3 linked regions of the Rhinolophus ferrumequinum genome follow. The protein of the gene in region 2 interacts with the protein of the main gene of each other region in a biochemical or structural test. Links are inferred from orthologs where the notes say so. Each region holds a gene or a part of one and is shown on either strand. Other genes may lie near its edges.

Region 1 (7,629 bases), on a different chromosome or scaffold from region 2:
AGGAGTTTGCATATTATTCTCCTCAGTTTTCTCTCTGTGGTTCTTCATGAAATTGATCTGAAATGCAAGACACCTTGTCTCAAGGTATCCAAGGGGATCCAAGTATTTGGAGAGCTATTAAAAGACATTGTTCTAATGATGAGACATATAATGTGATTTAGGTTGCCAAGGCCAAGCTATCCATCAGCTATGGAGAGAACAAGGAAAAGGGGGAAAAGGAAATCCAATGTGACAGCTACTGTAGTTCGTGCAATAAGGTTATGTGTGTAGTAAATACATCACTTTCTTTAACATTACCCCCCCACACACACACACCCTCTCCCAAATAAAAGCAAACATAAATTGGAGAATACAAATTTTCCCTTTAGCCTAAACAAACTTGCTTACTTGTTTCCAAAATTGCTTGCTCTACATTTCTGAAAATGATTGTAATTATAGTGCCTGGCACATAGTAAATCATCAATAAACATTATCTGTTATTAGTTGGATTTGGAATAGAAATAGTATTGCATAAAGTCAAGAACACATTAGGAATGAGATGCCTGGATGGAAGCCTTGCCTCTTGCACTAAATTGCCATATGACACTCGGTATTTGTTTAATGTGATCTGTAAAGTGGTACTTTATGATTCAATGATAGTACTCAGCTGAGAAAAATTTTGTAAAAAAGAACACCCAAAAAACGAATGAGTTGCTTCGTGTAAAACCTTAGCTCAGTTCCTGGCATATGTACAGGTCTGATTTACCAAGCGTTTACTACTAGAAGTTATGCAGGTAGGGTTGCTACCCCAGTGTTGCTCAGCCAGCCTATTGATGACTGAACACATCCAATGAGCCAGTGAAGGAGGCATTGGGGAAAGAACAGATGAATAAGGGAGACTCAGTTCTTATCCACATGTAGCTTTTGGGGGAGCATTAGCAAAAGAACATTCCAATAAAATCATTGATGGCTGTAATATATACTAAGAAATAACTAATAAGGGCCTGACACAAAATATCAGAGGGATTTCTTCTTGGGTAGACAGTCAGGGGAAGTCTAAGGAGGTATGTTTTAAGTGAAGGTCTCAAAGAAAAGTGGTCAGCTATGAGAAGTGGGGGTGGTGGTGGGCATTGCAGGAAGGTGGAACAGCAGTACCAAGGTCATGAGTCGGAAAACACTTGGCACATTGGGGGAAGGTATTGCCCAGAGTGGCTGGAGCATATGCATGAGGAGAGAGTGCTGCCAAATGTAACTGGCAACAGTCAAGACTCTGCTCATGCAGGCCTGATTGGCCATGGGAAGGAGTGGGGGTTTTATTCTGTTTGTAATGGTAGGTCAGGGAAGGGTTTTCAATAGTGGCAAGAAACGATTATTTGTCATATTTTTGAAAGACCGCTTTTGCTGCTTTGTAGGGTAAGGCATCTGAACTTTATTGATCATGCACACAAACCAGCATGTAGCTGGAAATGTTCACAAATACATGATTCTCTCTCTGTATCTCTTTCTCTTTACACGCACACACACACAACATATATATGTTGATCAGTAATTAAACATTAACAGGGCCATTATTTTCTTCCTGCACACCATGAATTATCTTGTGGTACCATTTGGGTACTTGTGTTCCACTTTGTAGAGATGAGCTGGAACAGAGCAATTAGGGAGTAGGGAGAGCTGTTAGGAAGCTGTTGTGCTAGTCTAGGTGAGAAACCATGGTAACTGGACTAAGGGGATGGCATATTTTTCATATGCACAATGCATAGACTCCATATTGAAATTACAGATCTATGCTCTCTACTGGCCTTTGATATCAACTATGTTCCTATGACTCATTCTTAATGCATTATATTAATAAAACCTGTTGCGTTGCTTAGTGGGTTGTTGGAATGAAAACACCTTGAAATAGACTAACCCTGTTTTCCCCATGATTAGCTTATTTCTTGAAATCCTCTGGAAAAAGATGATGGTTTAGGGACTTTCTGGTACTTTCTCTTTCTGCTTATTGATAAGACTCAATGGGGATCAGAGACATAAGAAATAAAATAGACATATAAAAAAATACCCAACACAACAATACTTGGAGCCAATTTCATCCATAGCTGTGTAACCTTTTTCTCAAATGAATAATTAAAATCAGGTAGTAGAAAAGTACCTGCCCTCTATGACTTTTCAGCGAATGGCCTGCAAATGCTTTCACTTTAAAGGGGTCATTGTAATAGGTATGTTTTAAAAGATGGGAGTTGTAAACTCTTTGGGGAAGAAAAATCAGTTTTACTTGTACCAGTTCTTCAGGAAGAACTTCATTTTGAAATCAAAACAATGTAAATTTTGCTAGGACAATAATGGATTAAGACCAGAACATTTGAATCCACTGTTTTTATTTATTTATTTATTTATTTTACTTTTTCCAGTCCTATATTTGGATGGGAATTTATTTAAGTTCTGACTCTTGAATCGGGTTTTCTTCTCTTGGAGGAATTCTCATGCACTTATCCAGACTGGAAGGGTTAGCAGGGCATAGAAAGAAGGCATTAGGCAAACGATCCTGCAAAACTCTGAAACCTTTCTGAGGAAAGGAAAATAGCTGTCTTGGGCTTTGACAAAGAGCACTTGCAATTTTGGGAGGAGGAGGGATCTCTGGCTCTCCTCTCCTCCCATCTAGAAGCCACAACCTGCCAGACACTGTTCCTTTTACAGGAGGATTCAGGCTTGGGTGGTAAAGGTGCTGTTGGAAGAGTAGTCTGTGTCTCCTTTTAAGACAAAGAGGACACTCTTTTATCCTTTTAAGTACACACATTTAAATGGCTGAGAAGCCTGCCTCTTTGCCTTGGCACATTTCTTGGATTGGTCATAAAACAATAATTTAAATTGATTTTTTGTAATTCAATTCTGAGTTGGATTGATATAAGAGAAATTTCTCCTGGACAGCATCAAAAAGAGGGTATCATTATTTGAAAAATAATTATCACTCTGTTACTTTCAAGTTGGTCCCATCACAAACTCAGAATTCAGATTTTTCAGTAAAGTTACTTATGCAAGTGTGAAAATGGACAAACATGTAATTAGAAACTGGAAATCGCACTATTTTGCTGTGGGGTTCATTTATTCAATCAGTAAGTAGTCATAGAATAATTTAACAGTTACCATGTGATAAGGAAGTGTTATTAGACACAGGGAGACTACAAAGAATGTGAAGGTATTTCAACTCTTAGAAGCAAACTTTCTATTTGAAAGAGGGTTGGATTTTGAGAAATTCTTTGTAATTTTCAAAGCCCATTCACCTCCTATAAATTTTTATCTGAACTTTTGAAGAGTAGCAGGGAGCTGGGCTGGGCGGACGTAATCATAGCATTACAGAATTTTAGGAATGGAAGGGATTTTAAAGATCATTTAATGCAACTAATTAATTGTAATGTGTAGGAAACTGAGAGATTGCTACTTGTCTGAGGTCCCACAGCAAACTAGTGACGGGGCACCCAGAACAGACTTGACGTTGGCTAATAATCTTAAGGCATTTGTTAGTAGTCCTGGGCTAGGCACACGGATAAACAGAGCACTGTGCCTCCTTTCTGGTATTTATTTGCCTATTCATAATAAATATTTATTGGATTAATGACTGACATATTTCTTACTGTACGGGACACTGTCAAGCACTGAGAATAAAGTGGCAAACAAAATAAACCGGTCACTTCTTTCAAGTTGCTCACGATTTGGTCAGCCTGATCTCACTGAGGTTGCAGTCTCTTAGGAAAACCAAGATACATGCCCACAAGATGCAGGAAGATTGAGTTCAAATACAGTGAGTGCTTTAGGAGGTCGGGAAAGGAATCTAAACTCCATCATTAATGGAAAAATCCCCCCCGCCCCCATCATTTAATTACATCATTCTCTGCTGTTGCCTTTCCGGGATCTCCCCCAAGCCCGGACACAGATTCTGCTCAAGGTAAGGTACCAACTCAAGGAGACTACGAAGGGAAAAATGAGGAGCCCAACCATCCCTATTTTCTAAACTGGAAAAGACCGTTGGACGGGGGAAGGAAGCAACAACAGAAACTGATACCAACCATAAAACAGGAATATTAAGTCCCCAACACAGTGACCACACTGCGAGCTCCGGGCTGGCCGACCCCACGGGAGGCGCGCGGGCTGATAGGGGAGCCGGCAGCGGCGGGGGCGCAGAGCGGGCGGCGGCGAGGAGCGGGCGGCGGCAGCGCCGCGAGCCCAAGGGGAGGGTCCGCGGCGCAGCCAGTCTCCACAGCCACCCGCGCACAGCGCAGCTAGCGAGCGGGACTCGGCACTCGGAGCCCCGGCAGCGCCCGCCCTCCCTTCCGCGTCGCCTGCCAGCGCGCCAGCGCCCGCTCCGCCCGTGACTTCAGTTCAGCTCCACCCCCGCGTGGCGGCGGCTAGCTCTGTCCGAACCCGCGCTCGGCACCAGCCCAGCCTGGGCAAGCGGCCGCCACCTGCCCGGCGCCGCCTCCACCCGCCCCAGAGCGGCCCAACTTGGATGGAGTTGGGGTCCTGAGCGCCTCTCCCCCACAGCCGGCCAGCGGAGAGCCCCGTGCCGCCACCTTCAGTCCGGGACCCCCTTTCCGTTCCTCTCCGCTCCTGCGATGGGAAAAGTTGGCGCCAGAGGTGGCTCCGCAGCCGGGCTGAGCGCGCTCCTCGCCGGCGCGGGGCTCTTGGTCCTCTGCGCCCCGGGCGCCTGCTGCGGCGGCTCCTGCTGCCTCCAGCTTCACCCCAGCTCGGCCCCACGTTGGGATCCGACCACAGGGGGCTTTTCTCATCAGGGGCCACCAGGCAGAGCTCCTGCCACGCCCCTGCCCCTCCGTGGGCGCCCTCTGTTCGCAGTGGCCCCCGGAGACCGAGCGCTGTCCCTGGAGCGGACCCCGGGCCCCGGAGCATCCGTGGCCGTTGCTCCACGCTCGGGCCGGAGGAAACGGAGTGGAGCGGATCAGAAGGCAGAACAAGGAGAGGGCGCGAGTAGGAACCCCCGGAGAGTGCTAAGGGACGAAGGGCAGCAGGAGCTTGGGACTCTGGAGCGGGACCCAGACAAAGCCACTCGCTTCCGGATGGAGGAGCTGAAACTGACCAGCACCACGTTCGCGCTGACAGGCGACTCAGCACACAACCAAGCTATGGTCCACTGGTCTGGCCACAACAGCAGCGTGAGTAGAATGGGACTGGGGGCAAAGGGGTGAAAGCTGGAAAGGGTTAAAGTTGGCTGTGTGATCTGATGGAAAATTTGAGGAAATGGGGTTTTTGGACTGGAAAGATGCTGCAAACTAAAGTCTTACTTGCTCACCTCCCCCAGGTTACCTCCTAGGAGACCACCCCCAGCCCCTCCCCAACAAAACTATCAGAGTCCCCTGCAAACCCCAAGCAAAGGTTTAAACATGGCAGACAAATCCCTATTTCCTCACTTCTTTGGTCGCATTGATGTAGTATGGATCTGAAGACCAGACAAACAGAGATGTTCAAGCATCCTGAATGTGGAGATGAAAGGGTTAAATTTCCAGGCAGACTGACATTCCCTCAACTGACTTTCCCTTTACTTGCTAGACTCATGGATGAGCACAAGTGATATCAATAAGATTTTATTTGAGGATTTTTATTTTATTTTTATTCAGAGCTCCTAGCCCCCTCTTCCCCACAAAGGAAGAGAACTGCAGTGGACGATAAGGTGCCCTTAATGTTGTCTCTGTTTTGGGGGACCAAGTGGATGCAAGTTTCAGGACAGGAACTCTCCAGCATCTTCTAACAGCACCAGCCAGTGTGTTTTGAGAGCTGGGGCTTTCCAGCCTGTGAATGAGTTGTTGTTTTCTGGCATGATCAGTCCCGGGAAGATCAGATATATCCCAGTGACAACAACTCCCTGTTCTCCCCCATTGCCTGACCTCCTCTAGAGAAGAGCACAAATCAAGTCTTAGCCTCCCTTTATGAAGGGAGAAGAGGCGTTGCTGGATTCCAGCAGGCTCCACACTGGGGAGAATGGATGCAAGTCCATGAGCTTTGGCCATGTCAGTAAAGGTTTTAGGTTTTTGGAAAAGCCTGCATGTCTGGAATCTGAGGTAGCTATTCCAGTTTAAACTGCACCTGGAAACTTCAATGAGCGGAAATAGTAAAAAGCCAGCTTTTGATGGTAAGAATTGAAGAGGATTTGGAAGTGCAGAAACTTCTCTAGGCTGCCGTTAAGCTGACAAGAACATAAAACCCAAGGATGGGTAAAATGAAAAAAATAAATCAAAGTTTCAACTTCCATCAGGTTATTGAGATTGTAGTATTTGTAATATGTACAGTCTCTGCAGCCTGGTACCTTTCAAACTGTTTTCAGTTGTGATGTAATTGCCAGAAACCTTCCCAGGGAAGTGCCACTTTAGTGAGACGTGCTCATTGTCAGCGTTTTTAATGACGGTTGTAAACATTTTAAAAAATAGTCTGTCATTATGGATTCCTTGGATACACACACATAAATTGTATTAAGGCAAATCATGATAAATAGTATTTTGTATTGATGTCTCTGTCTGAGAGTATCATCAGCGTTTTCCCTACAATTTAGCCTTCATGACTGAGGCTGTGATTTTATGTGGTTCTCAGGACCAGTTTAATCAAATAATGGAAGCTAAATTATTTCCATTCAAGTTCTGGAGACCGTTGCCCTCATTTCTTACCTTAACTATCATATCTTTCATATAGTAACCACTAAAATTGATCACGCAATTTGAACTTGAATCTTCCTAAACTAATTGAGTAACTTGCACTGCTTTAAGTGATGAGCTCGAAGCTTCTGGCTTTAAGGGGAGATTTTAAACACATCAGACATATTAGATCTTGTATCCAGAAGTAAAGGACTTTGGACTCAAAATATTTCTGGCTTTTAATGTAATTCAAGCTGTAAAATATCACTCACCCATTAGACCTCTACTTTAGTTCGTCTCTTGAAAGATCTTGGAAAGACCTAGAAAAGGAAAGTACATCTTTGGCAAATTTTAAACTCCATTTAAGAAATGGCGCCAAGCACTGCCAGACTTTTTTTTTTTTTTTAATGGTGTTTATAAGCCCAGTAGGGTCAGGACTTGGATGGGAGACATGCAGCGGATTCTGAGATAATATAGAAAATAATCAAGGTGGTGTGTGTTAAAGGTTTGAGCACTCAAATCATATTAACTAAGGAGATTCCCACTTAATAGTCTCTTACTTTGTAAGGACTCCTCCACCACCACCCCCACCCCGTCCATGCCTGCTTACACACAAATTGGTTTCTTTTTTGTGTACATGTACCGATGGTAAAGGGCGCGAAATAGTCTGTGTCCAGGTCCTCGAAAACAAAGCTGGCACACATTCATAGGCAAAACAAAGTTTTAAATATTTTTTAAAGGAAAGGGAAGCAGAAAGAAACTTTTTTTTTTTTTTTTTACATAACTTTATGACGTGAAAGGCAGAGTGCAGACCTGAGTTCTAGTTCTGCGTATTTGTGTTTTGATTTCGGTAGGTTGATTGTACTCTGAGTGTGATTTTCCTCACCTCTAAAATGGGGGCGATGCCCATCAGATTCACTACAGAGAACTGTGTGCCAGGACCCACATAAGAGGGCATTGTGACTGTGAAGTGCGGTGCACCTGTTTGGAACCTTCATCTCACAGCGCTTCATTT
Region 2 (8,458 bases):
AAAGATTTTTCCCCCTGAAAGTTTGGACCAAAAACGTGGGTGCCCATTATGCACGGGAGCGCATTCAGTATACGTGGCAAAATATGGTATATTAAATATCAATAATGAAGACTATTCAAAAAGCCCTAGTATGTTTAATTTTAAAGTGAAGGAAAAAAAAGACAATATGAGGCAATGACATTTAAAACAAATTAAACACAAAAGCTTTTTAGGCAAATGTGAAGTGGCACCTGTTCCTCAGTATTGCCCCAAACGTGAGACTGTCGTCAGCAGAGATGATAGAAAACTTGGTAGTTTTACTTAAAGTTGGAACTAACCAGCTTCTGACCCTAGTCTTTTACTGCTTAAATAAAAACATGGACCGCTGGTTATTACTAATAACTTCAGTCACAACTGATTTCCTGTCACTGGTCATGGAATCTTTTTAGTCTTTTTAAAAAACAAAACAGATTTTTGTTAAGTTGCCATATGAACAAATTAGAGAAAATACTACCAAACAAAAATAGTTAACAATTATGCGGTGTTTATTATAATGTTCCAGGCACTGTTCAAAAGCATTTTACGTATATTAACACATTTAATCGTCAGAGCTACTCTTGAGTTGGGTGTTACCATTATCCCCATTTTATTGATGGAAATTAAGACACAGTGGCCATTAACCTGAGGTCACGTACACAAGCTCGACTTGCCAAGTGTGCAAATATGCTTATAATATATTTCTAAAGGAAATAATTTGCTGCTGCTTTTGTGATCCCTGTTGAAGTAACTTCAAAAAGTAACGGTGACGGCAGGCATTTGGTTAACTATGATGTGGTGGGTTAACCTCAAAATAGAAAATTTGGTCAATGAGAATTTTTATTTTGGAGTCAGAGCTATGTTGGGAACCTGCTGCCGGAAAGGATTTCCCTGGGACAGCAGATCCCTTAGTTCTAGTGAAGAGCTGCGTCATCAGCACAGCTTCTCCTGCCCATGCTGGGGCTCGCAGCGGGCTAATCGAGCCCAGCTTATTCACCCTTCTCTGTTTTCCTTCCAGCTAGCCACTGTGCAGCCTGGCCGGAATTTCCACATGTTCACAAAGGAAGAACTTGAAGAGGTTATCAAGGACATTTAAAGAAGTGTGATCCTCAGAGCTTCTGTGGGACAATTTCAGTTCTCCTAATTGCCCTTTACTTTTATTTCCAGCTCCTATTCCTTGGAAAATCTCCATTATATGTGCATTTTTTTATGATGTCTGTACATAAAGACAGTTCTGAAATAAAGAAAAATTTAAAATATTTGTTAATAGACTATTCTAATGCAGTCTTTTATTCACAATGCTTCTGTTAGAGGGCAAAAGGGCTGGAATAGTTGTATTCATATCCCTACCCTCTCAGAGTATCTATTCTAAAATGGTTTTAGCGGCTTGCTACAACAATCAACTATATCATTACATTAGTCCCTGGGTATTGGCAATGAACTTAAGCTAATCCAGCTCCTCCCAGTGGTTTAAGATATTAATACCACTGTAAACCTATTCCAGACCTATAGTCAGTCTTCAGTAAATAGGCATTTTTCTGCTTTCCTTATATGAAAGAGATACTACTAATTAACCATCAAAAGAACATGATTTGAAGTCCTCCCCAAACACTGATGGCTTGGAGTAAGCTAGCTACAGTGCTATATCAGTGTCTTAACAAACAATTTGGAAAGATATATATATACATATAGATATATATATATATATTTATTATTATTATTTTTAATGAAGTTAAGGACAATAAAAGAATTGAATTCATGATCTTACCTCACTGGCAATCAATTACAAATGAGTAACGGAATGGTATAATTCAGAACTAGTTGACATCACACTTTGGAATGTACTATGAATTCCCTCCATTAGAGCTGCCGTCATGCAGTTGGTTGGGAATGGCCGTATAAAGTAGATACTTTTATCATACTTAGCAGATGAAGAATCTAAGGCTGTTTGTCTATGGACACAGAAAATTAAGCTGTTGGGAAGTGAACTCGGATTTTCTGGTTTCAGATCAACTCTTGATTTTACAATGCCATGTCCCTTGAAGCCTAGACACCTACTGAGTAAATACTCATTGAGATTTGAAATGTACTTACACTATCCACAACATGACTAATCCACATTTGGATAATGGAGAGTTGATTGTATATTCATTAACATTTGTAGGAAATTGTATTCGAAATCAAAATGATTTAAGTAGGCTGAATTCATATTACACTCATACTGTATGTCCAGCAGAAAACAACTGCTGGTCACCAATGTTCTAGGGACTAACTTCTAGTGATTTGAACCCTGTTACTAAATACTGTGTTTCCCCGAAAATAAGACCTAGCCGGACATCAGCTCTAATGCGTCTTTTGGAGCAAAAATTTGTATAAGACCCGGTTTTATATAACCGGGTCTTACAATAAGACTGGGTCTTTTTTTTTTTTTTTTTTTTTTTTTTTTTTTAAGACCGGGTCTTACATTAATTTTTGCTCCAAAAGATGCATTAGAGCTGACTGTCCGGCTAGGTCTCATTTTCAGGGAAACGCCGTATAACATGATGATGATGAGATTAGTTTCTCTCATGTTCACCTATTATCAAATCTTAATAGAAAATGCCATTGAAAAAATACTATCTCAATTTCCACTTATTCAAATTTAACAAGCTTATTGAGTACCTACCTACTATATGCCAAGTAACATACTAGACACTGGGGACAGACTTGTGTAAATAGTAGATACGGTCTGTGCTTCTATGAAGCTTCTGAGGGTGAACTAGACAGTATTCCCTTTAACTCAGCGTAGGTTAATGCGGAAATGGACAAAACATGCTGCTTTAGGGAGAGGTGAGAACTGTGTCTCTGAATTACGTATATTGTGTGGGGAAACCAAATACTAAGTAATAGTTCTTGGCGTATGTCTCTTAGCTTCAGCTTGTACTGTTTTCTCTCTCACTGCCTGGGCAGTGTATTCATACCTTACAAAAAAACTGCTGAAACAGTAAATTTCATACCCTCTAATTCTAATTTTAGAATTCTTGAAAAGATAGAATTAGAGCCTTCTTGAAAGAAAACTTTGGTTTACTGTAGAATTTTAAAACTTGCTACAAGATTTGTTCTTGGGCCCAATTGAAACAGAAATCATCTTACTAGGAAAAGAATGGCTCTGTGATGTCTAACTGCTTTTCTGCTACAGAATTTATCTTGGAGAACAGTATGGTTTTTAGTAATAAGATAACTTGACATACTTTAGTTCTGCAAGTCAGGTAACATCTTATGTGCAGTGTTTTCACAAGAGATCTGGCAGCAGTGCAACTTTTGTATTTAGTACCTACCCGTGTCACTAGACTGAAATACTAAAACCGTTTATGTACTCAAACATTGTCTCAGTGCCAAATGCAAGGTATCATGTCCCCAGCAACTGATAACAGTTTGAGGAAGGAAATATGTATTCTGTAAGCATATAATGATAACTAAAAGCAATATATTAAAAAGTGAAGGTAACAGATAATTGCAACTATTTAATACTGTGTTAAAAATATGTAGTAGTTTCTCCAGGAGATGTCACTGTTGAGTTGGGTTTTTTCTTTTCAGACAGTAAGACAATAGACCATTCATCTTTGTGTCACCGAACAAAGAAATATTCCTGCATCGTCCCTCTTCTCTTACCCCCCCCCCCATCACATGCTACTGGAACTGACTGTCTTGTGATCTACTCCATAGTTGGATAAACTAAAAAATAATCTGTATTTTAAAAAATAATCTGACAATGGTGGTTAATAGAAAGGAACAAATTGTTTACTAGTTTTCATGGAGTTTATCTTGTCATTTCAGTAGCTGAGAACTTGGAAGACTATTCTCATGATTTTTCCCATCCTGCTATTCAAAAGTATTTTTCACTTCTGTTTTACTATGGTTGTCCTGGAAAAAATGCAAATTTATAAAAATCTTTTTGTTTGCAAATTAATGTGACTAGAAGAATTTGACTATTGAGTGAGGTGCAGTGCACCATTTTGCTCTACAATTACATATTTTTATTTGTGCTTACCCGCAGTTTATAGTTAAAAGTAATTTTTAGTTTGCTTTATTTGGGAGTAACGTTTTGCACACTTTGTATCTTTCTATTTGCTACATTTTCTAACAACTAACATTCTGAAGGGATGGGATTAGTTAAGATCCAGAACTGGTTTTACCTGCACTGCATGTTCTAGAAGTTATGTGTGCAGTTTCTGAGTTAAAGGGAAAAGCCTAGAGGTTTTGTTTTATTTATTGGATGTGGGATACTAATTTAGGGGACATCATATACTGAAAACCACACTTGTGCAAATGCAAGGTTCAGGCACTTTCGTAGAGATAAATATGTATCTATGAAAAGATCATATCTGAAGCAGTCATTGGGCAATCGTCTTGCCCGCTTTGACCTGCCCTTAACGTCCAAGCTACTTTCTACCTCCAGGAAAACCAATAAGCAACCCCATCTTTGGCCTAACTCCCTACAGAGGAAGGTGAATGAGGCCATAGGTGGTGGAGAGACTTTTCTTACAGCTTGCATGAGTCACGGATATCCTGATGTCTGTTTTCTCCGTAGGATTTAGCCCACACAATTCGCATTCACCTTTCTGGCAGCAAGGCGGCTGCTTCAGTAGACAATGGGCGCTCCAGTGCGCGGAGCTTAAAACCTGAAGCACCGGTTCATGACGAAGCCCCCCTTTTCCAGCTGGGCGAGCTCAGGGATTCCCTGAGATTATCCCGGCGCTGCCGCAACCCAAAGAATTTGGGGGGGGGGGTTAGGCGGTCTCTGGGGGAAAGACTAAACCAGCCCCGACTTGAGGGTGCCCCTGGGAGCCGCGAGGGTTCTGGGCGCCATGGAGCGGGGAGCTTCGCGGGAAGAGGGAAAAGCTCCTACCAACTCTGCAAGCTCGGCCCTGGAGACGCGGGCGAGGCGGGGGATGACCTCAGCCGTCTCTGCCACGTTCCAGCCAATCAGTCCCGCATCTTGGCATCCGAATCCAGGACCCCCGAAGCCGGAGGCGACGCGAGCCAATGAGGAGCGGGCCGGGGAAGAAGGACAGGCCGCCGGCCTATGGGGGTGGAGAGGCCCGGCTGCGCGTATCCAAGGAGCGCCGGACTGGGCTCGGGGGTGTGGCGCGGCGCCGGCGGGGGTGGGCGGGCGCGCCGGGCGGCAGGTGTCGGCGGCGTAGGCATTCGGCGGCGATGGAGCGGCCCGGGGCAGCTGCGGACGGCCTGTCGCGCCGGCCCCACGGCCTCGGTCTCCTCCTCCTCCTCCCGCTGCTACCACTGGCGACACTCGGCCAGGACCGGCTGGACGCGCCGCCGCCGCCCGCTGCGCCGCTGTCGCACTGGCCCGGCCCCGTCGGGGTGAGCTGGGGGCTGCGCGCGGCCGCGCCCGGGGGCCTGTTTCCCCGCGGCGGCCGTTGGCGCCGCAGCGCGCCCGAAGAGGACGAGGAAGAGGGCTGCGACCGGGTCCCGGACTTCGTCGCCAGGCTGGGCAACAACACGCACCAGGTGAGCGGGCGCCGGGCCCTGGCGCCGCCCGGACTGCGAGGGGCCGCCCCCGGCGCCCCCGCGGCCGCCCGCCCCGCCCGCGCGCCTCCTGTCCCCGCCGAGGGGACCCCGGCAGTTCGCCGCCCGCCGCGCCCCCCAGGGCCGCGGCCCCGAAACTGCGGCGGGCGGAGTCCGGCCCGGGGAGCGGCCCTTTGGTCACAGGGGAGGCCGGTTTAGCCTTTCACGGCGTTCCTTTTTTCAAGTTGTCAAAATCTCTTGAGCGTCGTTGTTTTCCGTCTGTATAAATAATCGCGACCCAGTAACGCTGTACCTCACCGGGAAGGTGAGGAATAGTCATCGCTGAATTGTTTGCACAGGTTGGGCTGCGCAAAAGCAAAGGTGTGTTCTCTGGGTCAGTGCTTTCAGGGTGGGAGGGGGCTGTTAATTCCCAACGCAGTTGTTCGGTTACTGTGTGTTCGCACAGGTAAAGGAACAAGCGTGGAAGTGGGATGGCAGTATATATGTTATCTCTCTTTAAAACGCCTTCAGTTTGACCTTCTATGGTGTCATCGGACTTTGACCAGGAAGTCTGTGTCCTGTAACAAGGTTTCCAACTGTTAAGAAACACACTGCAGACACTCTGCTTTGAGCGAGGTCCTAGTCGGAAACTTTTAAAATTGCTGCAGTTCCATCCCTGGAGACAAGCAGCTCAACCTTTGGGCACCACTGGATTGACAAAGCCAGCAGACAGGAGTGTGTCCTGGCTCCTGGATCCAGTGCAGCTGGAGCATCTTCCTCGTCTTTTTTCTAGAACTAACGATTTAATTATCGCTACCCACATTTGCATAACTAATTTTCAATGTAATATATTTTCTCTGTTATATCCCTTTCTCTTGCGAAGAGTTGCACCTGGGGACAGAGATGAGTGGCTAACTGCACTTGTCCTTCAATAGCCACATTCGCATCAGGGAATCTCAGTCTCCCCTTGAACTATCTTTCTCCCTCTGCTGGGACTGACTATACCTGTTACCTGTGCAGAATTCTCACATGTGGGAGCCAGGTCAATTGCAATCAAGGCACAAGCAGGGATAACCCCACTTAATGCAGTCCAAGCAGCCGCTGCTTCAAGGTGGCTGAGGTAGTGCTGGCGGGTGGGACAGGTTGGGTGCAGGTAGGGTGGTAGGAGTACTGGCAAGTCTTCCTGTTTGACGAAGGGAGAAATAAATCTTGTAGACTTCCACCTCACAGTGGGGAGTTGAGAAAGGCTTTGCGATACTGATGCTTAATTTATAACAGGACTACTTCCTTCCTTGAGCCAGCTGGACACAGCATTCTTACCCCATATTTCAGATTCCTCTCTTCCTGGTTGACATTCCCTTAGGATCTGATGCTGCTTCTGGATTCATTCCTGTGATTGAGTCTTCCCTGGTTAGTTTGCGTTCCCTGGTTAGTTTGCGTTGATATGTCGTTTGCAATATACTGATTTCTATAGCAAGGTGGTTGATAAAACTGGCTCAAGGGGTTCTTAGGCCAAATCTACTCAAGAGCATATCTGAAACCTTATTCTTTGAAGTCCATTTGTAAAGAAACTTGCCCCGTTTTGTTTCATCTTATTTAGGTATTGTTCCCAATGATTTTTTTAGCTTATTATTTTTTCAGTGTTCTTCCAGTGACATAATTTTAAGTCACTACTTTTGCATTTGTTAATCAATCACGGTCTCATCTTCAGAGATCCCATCCTTTTTGGAACATGCAGATGTGGTTAAAGAGCAGCTGTTGTTAACTATCTTCATCTTAGAAGTGGTCGAGTAAAGTGGTGGTTCGAGTGGACCGCCACCTTAACCCAGAGTTGTCACGTAGTCGTCTGTTCTGCTTTTCAGTTATGTGTTTTTAAAAGTCATAATAAATCATTCTGAACTATACTGAAGATATCTAATATTTTAGGACCCTTTGTAAACAGTGTGAAATGAAATACCAGCATGACAGAACCACTTTCTATTGGCAATATTGTATACGTTTGTACAGCTGGGAACGTGCCATTTAGAGGAGTTTTTTGTAAGGATTTACTTCGCAGGAAAAATCCAAAGTTCTTGGTTCTCTTCTTACTTGTTATAACTTGCTGTCCATGTCAAGTCACATTGATTCATCATGTATGTGAATACCCACCCTCCAGATGCTGGGATGCCAGGACACAAAGAAAAGGTAACTCAGACTGGAGAATGAAAAGCCTCAGAAGGTTTTAGCCAATCTCCTAGACCTGTTTCTATGGCTTCTGTGGCTTGTGAAAACTTATTGGCATTTAACTAACCTTAAGAAAGCAGAAGTAGAACTAAAAGCATGATAGTGCTTTTATGTTCCTCTGGTGTAAGGAGACCTGTGCCCTAATGACTTATAATTCAGGATCCTTCACTCATGAAATCCAACAGTGTACATATATACTTATAAATGCTCTTTTCTTACACTCAATAAATAACCTTCCTTTTGCCTTTTACCCCAAACTGTTTCATGCCACACTTTTAACTGATTCTTTCCTTTCAGTGTTTTCCTTCATGCCATGTATAACCTTTGTACATGAGAGGAATTGAGCAAGCCTAGAAGATTTTATTAATGTTGGTTGCTAAGTTGGATTGCTTCAAAACATTCCTCCTATAAGCACCCCTTTGAGGTTAGGCATGAAACTCTGTCTTAAAGAAACAGATGAAATGCTTTGGCCAGAGTTACGGCGGTGGCTGACATAATTTCCTTACTTCTCATTCCTGTGTTCAGACCATTTGACGATTTCCTTAAAACTTTTAAAATTTATGATTAATGAAGCTCATTCTCTGTCCTCCCTTTGCTCCTGTCACTACCTCTTTACACATTACTTACCAACTTCCACCCCGACATCAAAGCATCTGGTTTCTTAGATAAACAGGCCCCATAGAGAGGCCATGTGGAATGGGGTGTCAGCTTTGAG
Region 3 (7,756 bases), about 4.3 Mb from region 2:
ATTTAACACCATTCGTGATATCCTTGTAAGTAATTACCGTTATTATGGCTGCAAGAGGACAGCTCTTCCTCCCAAGGTCACACCACCTTAGCGGATAGATGGAGTAGGTGAGCTACATCTTTCTACTTCCAAGCAGTTGGCGTTCCTGGGCTGCGGTGCCCCCGCTGGAGAAGAGCTGAACTGCGCTGGGCCCAAGGAGATACCTGAGCTGTCCCAGGGCTGAGATCTAAGGGCTGCTGCCGGCTGAGCCACGACCAAGGGCTTTGGATGGAGGCCCTGAGGGTCGGAGGTGAGATGGCAGCACCGTCCTTGCTAGCACCCACGCAGGCCGCGGTCCGAAACAAGAACCCAGGTAGCACTTTGCACATATGAACTCTCCAACTGTTAGTGACTGAAGGAGCAGGTGTGGGGTCAGAGCTGAAGCGAGGGGATCAGTATGGTAGGAGGGATGGCCTGGGAGGCTGAGAGTGGAGAAGAATGTCGCGCCCCAGGACTGAGCCATGGGAGGCACAGGCATTCGAGGGCCGACGGAGAAATCAGAGCGGTAGATGGCAAACCAGGAAGAGCACAGTCACAGAAACTCGAAAGGAAAGTGTTCCATGCAGGAGGTCCTCGGGGAGGAGGCTGAGGACCGGCAAAGTCTGATGAACTGCGCGGAAAGAAGGAGAAGGTACGGTGTTTGACAGCCAGTGCTCCACTGGCGTGGTTCAAATCTCTACCGGCCATTTCATGGGCTATGAGTGACTTACGCTGAGCAAGAGACTTACCTCGTAGGGCTTCAGCTTCCTTATTAATAAGTGGGTGATACCTACTTATAGGGCCCATAAAAATGCCTTGCCCAGGACCCCAAAACAAGGAAAGCAGCCAATAAATGCTACGATTGTTCTGTTGGTGGCAGTGTTGTTATTGCAACTGGTGACCTTTAAGAAGAAAATATCAGGTCAGTGGGGAGAAGGGGTGGGGAGGGGAAGAAGATGGGAACCAGACCGCAGGAAGTTGAGAGGAGCCAAAGAACAGGTGGGTCACTTTGCTGAGGCATTTAGTGGTGCAAGAAGTTGCGAGTCCAGAGACTGGGTGTCAGGAGGGCTAGCAGTTTCCTTAGGAGAGACAGGCAAGTGAATGCAGACAAGCCAAAGGGAGATGGAGAAACTGAAGTTATCAGAGAGAGGGTGAAAGCCAGGAGCAGCTCCCGGGAGGAGGCAGGGATGGCCCCCAAGAGGAGGAGGGGAGCCCAGCCGTTGCCATCCCCAGTGTTCTCTGCACCCTGGTCTGTCTTTGCTCCTTTACCAGTCTCCCCACTAAGGCCAGGGCCCAGAGGTTTTTCCCTCAGCCTCTTTCAGAGAGTGTGAGAGAAAGCAGACTCGCCTAGAAATCAAGAGGCCTGAGTTCTGGCCTGACCCGGCCCATTTATACTCAGCTAAGACCCCGTCCTTCCTGAGCCCTGAGTCCTCCTCCATAACTGAGGTGGCTGGAGTGATGTTCTCGGTGATTCTGTAACCATGCCATCACACTAAGCATTATAAAACATTTCCTCTTCTAAAGGTGTTCTCCACTCTGATGAGAAAGAAGGGGGAAGCAAGTCTTTGAGCTGACGCTATCACTTCCTCCCGCAATTGGGACAATATTTCTGTTTGGCACATATTGCCAGCAGATCCAGCAATGCCATCCGTACTGGCAGATCTCGGCCGAGCCTCCTGGTGTTTTAAATAGCACATGTACTTTGCCTTGCCCTTCTGGGATGAAGCAAGAGAGAGGCAGGAGCTTTGTGCCAGGCTGAGTGTTGCTGTGGACGAGGCACTCAGTGGCTGCAAACTTCTGAATCCTCAGAAATAACAACAATTACTGTGCACACACTACACTCTCCTCCACGGCAGCAAATACATCAGCTGCTGGTTATTTTGATACCCGGGTGAAAAAGCTCTTTCGAGAAAATCTAGTACAAAAAAACATTCTTATCCTCTACTTGTCTGCACCATTCCTTCTGCCCGCTGCCCTCTCAGCTGCTTTCCATTCCTATAAATGTAACTGGTCCAGGCTTTAAAGTCCTTCTCTCAGTGACCCAGGAGAAGGAAGTGGAAGAGGCAAGAGAAGAAACGCTGACTATGGTCTCTGTGTCAAGGCCAGTCTGACCTGGAACCTACTGGAAACCAATTCAGTGTGGATGGGTGTTATCTGACAGCCGCAAATGTCTCTGACTGTTGTAGGATTCAACAAGCATTTACTGAGCACCTACTGTGTGCCAGACTCTGTGCTAGGACCTGGGGAGACTGTGATACACATGGCCGGGCCTAAAAATCCAGTCCCCATCAAAATGTGAATTCTCTGAGAACAGGTAGGTACCTCAGCCATCTCACAGCGCCTGGCAGGCACATAGTAGGCACTCATAATTAATCTTTGGAGTATTTGTTTGTTGCTTACACGTTCTTATTTACTCAAGATCCTTTAAGTTCAGGGACAGAAACAGAGCTAGACAAGGATGGAAAGGAGCTCTTATTAAACCAACATGTGCCATCAGAATATGATGAAGAATTGGGGGGGGTGGCATCTAGCCTTACATTCTGCTTACATCATTTTTACATTTCCCTCTTACACACCACATAAAACAAATAAACAAACAAACAAAACAAAACCACAAGTCCGCCAAATCCTTTTGTCCTTCTGGGTGACGCCACAAGAACACATGCAAAGGTTCTGCATGCAACTACCAAATTTGATTCTAAAATTTTCAACTTTATCCCTAACTTCTCAGGCAGCTATTTTGTAAAGGCTTAGGGCTGGTGCTTTCAAACAAGTTTATACACGACATGATTGATGAATGAATTTGCCCTATTGTATGGAAATTCCTTTGTTTAATTGACAACGATAAATGTCCTAATGGATAGCCCTGACTCTGGCGCTAAGTCTGCAGAAAAGGCCATCTATGGTGGGCCCAGCAGCTAGCACTCTCCTCCAAAGTGTGTTCATCCAACCTGTTTGTACAACTCAGAACAACTCAGAAGTGGACAAGCCCTCCCTGGGAGATGAAGAGGCCACACGAAGGCTAAAGCTGACTTCCAATTCTGGGGATTTCTTCCTACCTCATCCTTCTCACAGCAGACAGCTATGCAAAGCAGCAGGGCAAAGGTGAAAAGACCACCAAGTGGACACCTCAGGCCAATCTGTGTAAAGGGAGCTGGAAATGCCGAAGAAGGGCTTCAGCTCGCCAGTGCCTCCCCTGGGGCGCGGGGGTGGGGCAAAGGGCCACCCTTGGACTTAAAACAGGAACCCCTCCCTGTACCTCATTAAATCAGGGCGCCTGAATTGTGCTGGCATGTCTTCACCAACAAAGGGATTCAGTGCCCTCCCCTCCCGTGCCCCATCCCTTCCTCCCATGTGGCACCAGGGACAGGGTAGGGGCTCAGCAGACGGTTTACTCAGGGAAGAAGTGTAGACTGAGTTTAACACCAGGGAAAGTGGGTGTGAATTTTGAAAGACGTGTGAACCCCCAGAACATTATTATAATTAATGACGCACATTTGCTGAAAAATCTGGCTTCAGGGGTATTTCTGCTACCGTGGGGCTGAGGTGGGAAGGGCAGGCAAGCTTCCCTGTCAGCCTCTGAATCCATGGAACACAAGAAATGCTGGAGGGCCCGGCCAGCCAGGAGGTCACACCTCCCTTAAAGTCTGCAGCATGCGGATAAAGAGGAATTGGGGCAGGTCCTGGGGTGGCCAAGGAGTCTTGCTGTCTGGGTCAGTTTAGAGTCACAGATCCCTTGCAAAGCTGATAAAAGCTGCTGACCCTCTACCCAGAAAAATGCACGCAATGCACACAGATGTACAGATTTACCTACAATTTCAGGGACCCCAGGAAACTTCCAGAACTTAAGTTAAAGCCCTGAGTCCAGGTCCAGACGCCTAACGCCTCTGTCTCTGTCCCCACGCCAGACTTGCCCCTGCCCAGGGGCCTTCTAGATGGTTCTGGCTCTCAGAGCCGCAGCTCTGCCTCCTATCAGAGGAGCGCCAGCACCTGCGTCTTCCAGGGCTCCCCTGGGTGCTCGCTTCTTCAGGGGTGACAGGAAGCATCCCAGGCGAAAAGTTCCCTTGGCCTTTCTCTCTAGGCTGTGAGGGGCAGCCATGCCTAAAGCACGGGAGAGTCGTGCTGGGAGGACGGGGTGGGGACGGGGTGGGGTGGGGGGGGGTAGGGAAAGGGGACACAGATAGCGGTGCCCCAGAAAATCCCTGCCTGTGCTGGGCTCGCACAGTCCCTCCGACCTGTGTGGTTCCCTTTGACTTCTGGGGCTTTGAACCCTTCCCTGACTGGGGAGACTCAGCCCTCCTGGGAGCTGATCGCTAATCCCCAGGACCCCCGACAGCCGGGCACCTCAGTCCAGCACCAGCAGGTGTGGGCCTGGGGCGGGCCGTGCCCGGGGCAGACTGAAGTGAGGAGGAGTCCGGGAGGAGGGGCTAAGAATTCCAGAAGCCAGTGTTGAAGCCGTTCGGAGCTCCTGCACCGCAGAGTGCGCCGGGAGCCGGAGAGGAGCGCAGCGCTGGGTGAGTCCTGCAGCCTGGAGCGGAGCCCCGAGAGGGGCGCAGCGTGGGCAGGGGTGCTGGCGGGCGGGGAGGAGCTCCCGGGAGACAGTGCCTGGCTCCCAGCCTGGTAAGATCTCCGGGCACCCCCGAGGATCCCACGGGCTGAGGTGCAGTGGTGAGAGGAGTGTCCCGAGTGGGCGCAGGAGTGCGGGAGCCTTGGCAGGCGAGCCGGCGAGCAGGGGGAAGCAGCGCGCTCTCTGGTCTTGAAGTTCCCGGTCTCCCCGTGGCCCGAAGTCCCGGAGGCCACCCTGGCGCCTGCAGTAGTCCCGCGCGGTGCCAGACACTACTAGCTCGAGTGCTAGAAAGGGACAGCGCGCAAGTGAGGGAGAGCAGATGAGCGTGGAGAGAGGGATGCGCGGGCCAGAGGGTGGGCTGCACCGCGGAGGGCGAGAGCATCGCGCGCGAGGTCTGGGCTGTGCGCCTAGTCCGGAAAGTGCTACGCTGCCCCCCAGGTAAGGGGACCAGCGAGGCAGGGCACGCTGAATCTGATGCCAGGAATGGAGGCAGGGTCTTTGGGGTCTTCTCCTCATTGCTGGAGGGCTGAGAGTTCGAAATGAAGGCCCCCGGGGCTTAATGGAGGAACCTTGCACACCAAGAGACCTCCACGGATCCGGGTGGACCGAAGTCGCTGGGCTACTTGGGTCACACGCCTCACCGCCAGCTGTCTGCTGCCAGTTGTGGGAGAAGCTGGCGTGGAGGGCTGAGGTGGGCAGCGCCTTAGGTCCTGGAGGCAAAGACCCAGGGCAGAGAGGACTCAGGGGTGAGGGGACGGCACCTTTGAGCCAGCAGAAACCACAGAGGCTTTGCTCTGTTTGATTACAACTCTTCTTACTCTCTCAAAAAGAAAAAGAAAAAAAAAGAAATCCCTGAGATTCTCATGGAAGGTGTTTTCTGCTTGAACTTTCTCTTCTCTTGTGACTTGAGCGATTAAAAAAGAGCCTGCTTGCTAGGCTGGTTTTTCCAAGTTGTTCCAGGTTGGAAGTTGTAACTGTTTGAAGGATAATTTATGGGTGTTTCATGCATTAAAGTGCATTACAGCAAAGCCTTTGGGGTGCTGTGGGTATTAAGGAAAACTTCGTGCACGTTCCCAGCTGGAAACCAAAATAGTGCTCTCCTGGGTGTCTCTGCCCTGTCAATCATCTGAGGCTAGTGGAAATCCTGGAGTAAAGGCATTTGATTAATTATCCTGGCTCCATCCGCTGGGCGTACCCACTGCCAATTCCGGGCCCCTCCTCCCCCACATGCACAGCCAGTTGCATTCTGCAAACTCAGAAATGGTGGTGGAGGGCCTACCAATAACTTTTCTCCAGGGTCTTCAGACTCTTGAAGCTGTCAGTTAAGTCTGCCAGCAGGGAATATTTCTTGCGACGTGTTTACAGCTTCCTACCGAATGTCTGAAACTTTCTCCCTCTGCAGAGCCGCAGAGGAAAGTCTAGAAAGTCTGCATTAGACCTGCATGGGTCTCTTCTGTGGCATAAGTCATATATGTCAGCCTGGGCAACCCAAATGTCAATCCATGATGGGCAGTGTTCCAGAGGTTCAGAGGGCACCCAGGACTGGCGAGTGAGTGGTCTGGGGGCTGAAACCTGCCCTGCTGGCACTGACTCACAGAAGAAATCACTGTTCCTCCTACTTGGGTCATTGGAGGGCCCTGGGGCTAACTTCATGTGCTGCTAAACCTCTCCCCCTATCTCTCTCCAACATTTTTATGTAGGTGAAAAAACCGGCAGCCTTGAAGGGAAAAATGTTAGGAGTCACCACAAATGGGAAACTAAGGTCTCTGAGGCGCGGGGACACGTGTTTTGAAAGAACTGTAGGAGTGTCTCAGAGGATTTTGGAACCGGCTCTGGTGCCAGCCCTTCCCTGAGCCCAGGCCCACTAAGAGCATTTGGAAACTGGGTCCTCTCAGGGCAGTCATCCTACTATTGGTGACTTTCTGTATCCTTAGCCTTTCTCAAGGAGTGAGGGTCTCACCTTCTCCCACTGGCCACCCAGAGTACCAGAGGGAGGAGGTGCTAAAGCTTCACACTCCGCTTCTCTTATGTGGAGAAACCTGTGCCTTGGCCAGGAAGGGGGCCCCAGCTGCCGACATCAGCAGGGAGGGTAGGGCAGGGCAGGGCTGCAGCCCGAGGGAAGTTTCTCATCGTCACTGAGATTAAACGACTGAGAAAATCGCACAACTTCACTTTTAAATCAGTGCTGAGCAGACTTCTGCACATTCAAAGAGTGTCCAGTTGTAGTGGCAGCAGCTTTGGGACCACAGAGAAACTGCAAAGAACACATGGCTGCTGTTCTTCCCTGCTCTGCATGGAGCAGGGGCCAGGCCCGGGCCCCCAGGCACACATCACTGTCACACCAGGGACTAGAGGCCCAGCCATTTGTCTTCTCCCTATAAGGCCTCATAGAGACTTCGGGGTTCAGAGCAGGTGGGTCTTGGAGACCTTTGCTGGCAGCAAATACTTTCTGCTCTCAGGAGGCCGAGGAAGGCTTGCTGAAGATTCACTTAAAGTCTCTCAGCAAACAACTCATATCCCCAGAGGGTTTCTCTTTCTTTGGCCCCTCTGATCTTGCAAACCATCAGCTACACCATCAGCCCTCAGGCTTAGCCGTCCCGAGAAATCAACTCTGTGATGGACCAGTTTCACAGAACAGCATACGGGGCATCAGGCAAATACATGGAGATGGACGACCCTCCCCAACACATGCCCAGCGACCTGCTTCCTGACAGTGGGCACCCTCACTCTAAATAGCAGTAAAACCGGGATGGCCCTAAGGCAGAAATGCAGCTGGAGAAACTGAGGATTGGGGGTGACTGGCCTTTCCGTTGGGTGTACACAGGATTGTCACTGTTTGAGCCAAGGAGGAATAGCCCTTCAGACACAAAGTTTGGCCAAGACCAGATCATGAAAGCTTACAATAAAGAAGACATTCTCAGGCTTTGTGATGTTTTCATGGTTCCTCTGTGGGCTACTTGACATGTTTTTGAGGTGTCCCCAGGGACTGTTGGCCTCAGACTATGACACAGTCAGAATCAGATTGAAACGTTACGATGATCTCTTGACATTTTTCTCCAGTATTTTGGGTAAACTTCCGATGGTAGTTTCCCAAGCTCTGAGACAGGAGGGAAAGTGGCTTTGTGACCTTAAGCAAGTCACTAAACTTCTCGGGTTTAATTTTTCCTAATT

The links.
Region 1: the proteins of SORT1 (region 2) and SORCS1 form a complex in vitro, tested with the Homo sapiens proteins (2 studies listed by BioGRID and IntAct, with this or other methods). The link is inferred for Rhinolophus ferrumequinum from reciprocal best matches to the Homo sapiens genes SORT1 and SORCS1.
Region 3: the proteins of SORT1 (region 2) and NGF form a complex in vitro, tested with the Homo sapiens proteins (3 studies listed by BioGRID and IntAct, with this or other methods). The link is inferred for Rhinolophus ferrumequinum from reciprocal best matches to the Homo sapiens genes SORT1 and NGF.

What each region holds. Positions count from the first base shown.
Region 1 is NC_046299.1:18,856,647-18,864,275, forward strand, and holds the start of SORCS1 (VPS10 domain-containing receptor SorCS1), read left to right. Parts: upstream 1-4,261; 5' UTR 4,262-4,589; coding exon 4,590-5,144; intron 5,145-7,629.
Region 2 is NC_046305.1:41,583,054-41,591,511, reverse strand, and holds the start of SORT1 (sortilin), read left to right. Parts: upstream 1-5,167; 5' UTR 5,168-5,211; coding exon 5,212-5,523; intron 5,524-8,458. Other genes in the region: PSMA5 (proteasome subunit alpha type-5), read left to right, coding at 1,034-1,111.
Region 3 is NC_046305.1:45,834,544-45,842,299, reverse strand, and holds the start of NGF (beta-nerve growth factor), read left to right. Parts: upstream 1-4,474; 5' UTR 4,475-4,532; intron 4,533-7,756. UniProt on the Homo sapiens protein: Nerve growth factor is important for the development and maintenance of the sympathetic and sensory nervous systems.